2 linked regions of the Nothobranchius furzeri genome follow. The protein of the gene in region 1 interacts with the protein of each later gene in a pairwise test. Links are inferred from orthologs where the notes say so. Each region holds a gene or a part of one and is shown in the gene's direction. Other genes may lie near its edges.

The links. The genes of interacting proteins can lie anywhere in the genome.
Region 2: the proteins of prpf40a (region 1) and hnrnpul1 interact in a two-hybrid assay, tested with the Homo sapiens proteins (2 studies listed by BioGRID and IntAct). The link is inferred for Nothobranchius furzeri from reciprocal best matches to the Homo sapiens genes PRPF40A and HNRNPUL1.

What each region holds. Positions count from the first base shown.
Region 1 is NC_091754.1:18,325,634-18,329,017, reverse strand, and holds the end of prpf40a (pre-mRNA-processing factor 40 homolog A), read left to right. Parts: intron 1-1,348; coding exon 1,349-1,486; intron 1,487-1,574; coding exon 1,575-1,670; intron 1,671-1,752; coding exon 1,753-1,839; intron 1,840-1,912; coding exon 1,913-2,003; intron 2,004-2,075; coding exon 2,076-2,137; intron 2,138-2,214; coding exon 2,215-2,370; intron 2,371-2,461; coding exon 2,462-2,551; 3' UTR 2,552-2,796; downstream 2,797-3,384.
Region 2 is NC_091753.1:58,652,006-58,655,660, forward strand, and holds part of hnrnpul1 (heterogeneous nuclear ribonucleoprotein U-like protein 1), read left to right. Parts: coding exon 1-55; intron 56-703; coding exon 704-843; intron 844-915; coding exon 916-1,015; intron 1,016-2,537; coding exon 2,538-2,650; intron 2,651-2,984; coding exon 2,985-3,251; intron 3,252-3,655.

The sequences.
Region 1 (3,384 bases):
TTATTTTTTTGTTTAGTTGTTGGCCTGTGGGAAAAAGTTTGGACCACTTTTAAAACGGGAACTGGAAAGATGAATAGAATAGAAATAGACCAGAAAATCCCTTTATTGTCCCTCAGTGGGGAAAGTTTGGTGTCAAATTAGCAATAAAATTACATCAGCAAAAAAGGAGAATTAAATATAAACAAGAAAACGTAAAAAAGAAATACAAACCAATTCAAAAGATTAATAATAAAAACTGGAGGCATAATAAGTAATGAATACCACTGACACGTTTTGTTGAAAATTGACTTGCTCGTGTGCAGTTTGGTTACTCCACATTCAGTGTTACTGCAAAAATAAGTTAGTTTCCAAATGAAAAGGTTCAACAGCATCTGTAGATAAAAGAAAATGTGCACATTTGTATGTCTAAATATTAAAGAGCAAGTAACGCATCGTAAACTAACTTGTTTTTGCTGATAACCTGTAGAGATGAGTGTCTAATGGTGCTGTACACACGTGTAATCATTAGTGTGGCAGTTTAGCGCAACTTACTCTAAATGTAATATTTCAGCCCAAAACCATAATTATATCTCCATCTTCAGGTTAAAAACTGCTCCACATTTATGTAGAACCAGCTGTAGCTGAAAAACGTCACGTTATCCGCAAATAACTACGTGGCTGCACCGCTCTGGTCTCCAGGTGAGGCAGCCGCACCTCCACCCGACTCGGCCACTCACCTGCCGGTTTGACACATTAGCGCTGGCAGCCGCTCGCCTACTGGAAAAAAATGCCCTCCTCCCCCTTTTCATCTAATGATCACGATTGCCCCGTAACAGGAAACCCTTCAGGATGCTGCAGAATCTGTGTTTGCTTTCCTCCTGAGCGGTAAGTCTTGTGTGAGTGTGTGCTTGTGTGCACACGCACGCGCTCGTTAACAACTCCATTTTAGATAGAGAAACTCCAACAGTGCACACGGGGGCGTTGAGGGGGGTGCGGTCTACCGCTGCCTCAGTGCCGCTCTCTCGGTCCACCAGGAGACGCCTCTTTCAGAAGCGTTTTCCTAACAGGAAGTGTGGATGAAATGCGTCTCCACCCATGCCTTGACCCTCACTTAAGTTTGGCCCGCAACTTCGTCCCAGTTTTTTTTTTTTTCTTTTCATTTCGGCCCAGTTTGAGTTTGAGTTCGACACCTCTGCTCCAGAGGCTGAGATGACGTCAGATTGAGCCCACATGAGATCACCGTTTAGCTCCGCCCTCTTAAGCAGCCAGTGGATCACATGGGGAAGAGGAAATTCAGTTCTTTGGTTTTGTGCAGTTTTGCCTCTAGAACGATTTTGTATTTTTAAGATCTTTTTCTTTTTGTGAACAGCTTCTGGAGAAGGCTGAAGCCAGAGAGAGGGAGCGAGAGAAAGAGGAAGCCCGCAAGATGAAAAGAAAAGAAGCTGCTTTCAAGACCATGCTGAAGCAGGCCACGCCGCCTCTGGAGCCGGATGCATCGTGGGAGGAAGTACGTGGTTTCAGTTAGATCACTCTCCATCACATTCACTCGTGATTGGGCCTCGTGTTTAGTGACGAGCGGCATCTGACCCTTTCAGGTCAGAGAAAGATTCCTGAAAGAGTCCGCCTTTGAGGATGTGACGCTGGAGTCGGAGAGGAAGAGGATTTTCAAAGATTTCATGCATGTTCTGGAGGTAAGGTCACCACGATGACATTTGGAACTGATTTATCAGGCCTGATAACGGTGACGATCAGCGGTTTGGTCTGCTTTTTCAGCACGAGTGTCAGCATCACCACTCCAAGACAAAGAAGCATTCAAAGAAGTCCAAGAAGCACCACAGGAAACGATCCCGCTCTCGATCGGTGTGGACCTCACCGGCTACTTTTGTTTTCCTCCTCTTTGGACCTGCTAATCTTTAACCTTCTTATTCATTAGGCTTCAGAGTCTGAGGATGAGGATTACCACAAGAAGAAGAAGAGGTCACAGTCAAAGTCTCCTTCAGAGCGCTCATCGAGTGGAGAATCTGGTGAGTGTTTCTGTTAGCGAATCGCTTTACGGAAGCGTTTGAATTCACCGACACGTTTCTGTCTGAAACTAGAGCGAAGCTATAAAAAATCCAAGAAGCACAAGAAGAAGGGCAAGAAGAGGCGCCACAAGTCTGTAAGTACACAAGCCTTTTGTGGATGTGGTGTTAAAAATTACCCAGCATGCAATTAGCTGATAACCGCAACCAACAGGCATCGCCGGAGTCTGACAGCGAGAAGAAAGGAAGAGACCGTGACGGGAAGCGTGAACGAGATTCAGAGAAGGATAAAGAGAACGACAAGTCTCGGTCTAAATCTCGCACCGAGTCCAAACAGAAGTCTCCTAAAAGAAAAGCAGCCAAAGAGGAGGTGAATTCCCATCATTTAATACGATTTCCAAAAGATTTTGGTAGTTAAAGTCCCACAAACCCGAGAGACTGATTTAGGTTTTCCTGCTCAGGGCGGCTGGGATACATCAGGCAGTGAGCTGAGTGAAGGAGAGCTGGAGAAAAGGAGAAGAACTTTACTGGAACAGCTGGATGCACCTTGATGCTTCTCTTTTTGCTACTTGTACATTTCAACTAAAGCATTCCCTGCATCTGACCGCGCTGTTCACTGAAGACGTCTCTCACTGGTTTTAAGGGGAATGTGCTCATGTACTGATCTTACGCGCTCGGTTCGTCTCATTTGATATCCGGAAGCTCCTCATTTTAAGTATTTCCTATAGTCGGATGTAGTTGTACGTTTCCCATTGCTGATTTTTTTTTTTTTAATTAAAGGCATATCTTAAAGTCACGCTCAGCGTCTTCACCAAATTGTCGTCAAGTAAAGTTATTGAAAGTGGCAGTGTGTAGTTTCCTGGCACTAGGGGGCGGTACATTCATTTCAGGGTAGTTTTCCACCATATCGCCATAGTTTAAAAAAAACCATCAAGGTAAATTTGGTTACCTGTGGAGCAGAAAGCATGCGACCTGTGTCTCTCCTCAGACTTTGATGATCCTTCAGTTAATTCCGTTAAGGGAACGCGATGCTGGGGCTAGTTTTCTGGATCTGCTCGGAGTCCTGCCTGCTGATGTCATACTACGGCAAAACCATTTAGACAAAATATATTGCATGTCTTTTTAGATTCTGTTCTTTAACAAAGGTTTCATTAAGAGTTTAGCAGTTTTGTTTTTAAATCAGTGTTTTTTACTGCTGGAATGTTTTCGAACATGGCAACGTAACTTGCGTAAGTCGTAATTCCAGCCTACGTCTGGTGTGATGTCATCGAGAAGAGCAGGACCCCAAGCCGACCAGTTTAAAATATGGCGTCCCCCAGACACTTAAACCCGTTCCCTATGTACTTTAAACCCGATTTTCATGGTTATGTTACAAAGCCGTCAG
Region 2 (3,655 bases), on another chromosome or scaffold:
CCTGCTGAAGATGAGGAGGAGAACATTGACGACACTCTAGTGACAATTGATCCATGTAAGTTCAAACTTTTACTTTTTCATCTTTAAAAACCCACATTTGGTGTAAAAATTCAAGTGACGGCTCTCGTTTCTTCTGCTGGAGGCGTTCTAACGGGTCAGAGTTAGCTGGATTTGAGGCTAACGCTAATCACGTCCTCCGTTTCCACTGAGAGGTCTGAAATCTTGTTTTCCAAATCAGCTGTGGTCTGGAGATTGGTCTGCCATGAACTTAGTGCTTGGTGTTGGTTCTGGCTGCAGCAGCCTCAGTTCTCAGTAACACAGAGGCTCCAGACACAGCTGCTGGGTTAGACTCAACACTCAGATCTGATACGGTCACATTCACATATCAACCAAGTCTGAAACGTTACCAAAAACAGGACATGATCCCAGTTCACCTTTTTAATAAATAAAGTGACTTAGTGGAACAGCTTCTGTTGCTGTTGAGCAGCAGCAAACTAAACCCTGTTTGCTTTGTTAGGGGTAGGGTGACTGTTTGTTGTCATTGTTTTTTTAAACATTTTTACTATATTATGGAGTGAAAAATAACTTATTAGTTTCCAAAGGAGGCGCTGAAAACACGAGACCTTATTTTCTGGTTCAAAAAGATCAAATAAATCTAAATAATGATTTAAAGCACACCTGAACTTTCTCTTTCCCCTCCTAGACAACTGTGATTTGCACTTCAAAGTGTCCCGAGACCGGTACAGTGGCTATCCGCTGACCATTGAGGGCTTTGCTTACCTGTGGGCTGGAGCCAGAGCGACTCATGGCGTCACCCAGGGTCGCGTGTGCTACGAGATGAAGGTGATTTACACTCGGTTGATGCGTATGTGGACACAGAATGAAGGACTTACCACTCCGTTTCTCTTCCTGCAGATAAACGAGGAAATTCCCGTGAAGCACCTGCCGAGCACCGAGCCGGATCCTCACGTGGTTCGAATCGGATGGTCCCTCAACCACAGCAGCACTCAGCTCGGTAAGAAGAGCGCGGGTTTCTGCACGGTCTTTAAAAGCGTTTCATTATTTTTTAAATGTTTTTCAGATTTGCATAATCATGAGTAGGGTTGTCACGGTGTGAAAACGTAACCTCAGGGTTATTGTGACCAAAATTACCACGGTTTTCGGTATTATCGCTGTATTTTTTTTAAACGTGCTACATTTTCACACAACTAAATAAACCCTGTATGTCAGGAAATATTGTCCTCAGTTTGTGTCTAAATTTAGCCTAAAATGTGTTATTTTGTAATTATGTTGTTTATTTGTTTACATATTTCCCCTTTAGTCTTTAAAATACCAATATTTGCTCATAACTTCTTATTTTATGTCTGTTTGATGTCATCATTTTAAAAATATTAGATCAGATGATACTCAGTACTCAAGTAGCCTTCTAATCAGATACTTTTTTACCCTTACTTGAGTAATAAACCCTATATCAGGAAAATATCGTCCTCGGTTTGTGTCCTTCCAGTGAGCTTTGCAGATGTGGGAAAATGTCATCAGGCAGTAATCATTGTTAAATTCATAATTATTCTCGGAGAGAGACCAACTCTTATCTGCCCCTGGGAGCCCCGTAATGCATAGCGTCATTTCAACATGGCGGTGTCCGCGACACGGTTTATATGCAGGTAGTGGCGCTGCGGCTGCTTTATATAGCGACTCGTTGCATTCTCCCTCAACCCAAATCCTCGGATCACGCATTTTAGCTAAAGCGCTAACGTTAGCTTGCCTTGCGTTGACTGTAGAGTTGTGGGTGATGGTCACGCAGATGTGTCATGAGATTTGAAGCGTTGCTGCCTTTCACAGACACTTTTTCTACACGTGCTGCAAACAGGATAGCCGTCTTCTATCAGCTGTCCCTCGGCATTCTTCAAATATCCGAAAGATGCCCGTACTTCCCACTTTGTCTTCTTTGAGGGATAATAAATGTCCTGAGCGCTGCCGTCTCCTCCTTTGGCCATTATTTCAGCTTTAGCTTCAAGAAAGTTTTGGTTGTAAACAACAAAGTGCGCATGTGCCACCGGCAACTTCAGCAGATGATACGGTGGCTGGTAAGGGTCACCGCGCCTACACCGCAGCCACGGTAATCCACCGAGATAATATAGTTTTAAAAAACAAGACGGTTATTATTATTGTCAACTTTTTACCGGGGTTTACCACTACACCGGTTACCGTGACAACCCTAATCATGAGTAAATGAAAAGAAGTGTCGGTAGATTCTTTTCTCCGTTTCCTAAATGATCGAAACCAGAATTTCTCAACAGTTTTGCTTTTATGGAACATCGTGACAAGGAAACATTTAATTTAGATTAAAATAACGTGTTTGATGCATAAACCTCATAATTAAACCTGTTTTCTTAAAAAAGAATAAAAAACTTCACACATACATAATTTTGTTTATTATGTTTATGTTATAATGTATTTTAAAGCAGAAGAATTTCCCATTTGTTTTTTTTTAGAAATGATTTATTTAACAAACGTCTGTTTTTCCTGTTTTCTAGGTGAAGAACCTTTTTCCTTTGGATACGGAGGAACGGGGAAGAAATCCGTTGACTGCAAGTTTGCCGACTTTGGTGAGAAGTTTGGTGAAAGCGACGTCATCGGCTGTTACGTTGTGAGTAAACTGAGAATACCTGTAATTACTGCATCAATACCAAAGTAAATTGCTCCTTAACATTCAGAAGATTTATTTTACTGACGTGTTTGGAGCTCTAATAATGTTTTTGTTGCTGATATTTTATCTGCAAAAAATGTATAAAAGATTCCGTTTTTCCTTTATTGCATTTGCATTTTCTCTAATATAAGGTTACCGCTGGTCTGAATCCAGTAGATATTAATTCAGTTAGTTTCCATAAGTGTGGCTCCTTATTTCCTGTGTCCTGTACCGAACATTTGTTTTAACCGGAAGTGACGGTCGTGGTGCTTCTTTTAAAACTCATTTCCTGCAGGACTTCGAAAACGGTGACGAGGTGGAGATGGGATACACCAAGAATGGCGTCCAACTGGGCGTGGCGTTCCGTACGACAAAGGAGGCTCTGGCTGGGCGAGCCCTGTTCCCTCATGTGCTCGTGAAAAATTGTGCTGTTGAGTTCAACTTTGGGCAGAAAGGGGAGCCCTACTTCCCCCCACAGGAAGGATACACCTTCATCCACAATCTGGACCTGAAGGACAAGATCCGAGGCACAAAGGGACCTGCCAGCAAATCCGAGTGTGAGGTAGGAGATCAGTGTTCTGTTACAGCTAGAGTCCGACGCACACGACAAGTTGTATCAAAGAACGGGTCATGTAGGCTCCGTGGTGCCGGTTGGGAACAGATGTCTGCCGCTTTTAAAGTTGTCTCGCGCTTTCCCACCTGCAGAAACCAGGTCGAGACTCGTTCCAGGTGTGTGTGTGTGTGTGTGTGTGTGGCTCTGAAATTTAGTTGAGTAAATTTTTGTTAACTGCACTGAAAACCTCCTGTGACACCAGAGCTGGGCAAAGATTATCGAACTGTTTTGAACTGAAACAATCCCAGGGTGTCCGCGGGGTTTTAAAAAGTATTAAAAAGTGATAAATAAAAATAGTCAAATTTAAGGCCATTAAAAGTGTTAAATTTGGTCTCAGAGGTATTATTTTTTCC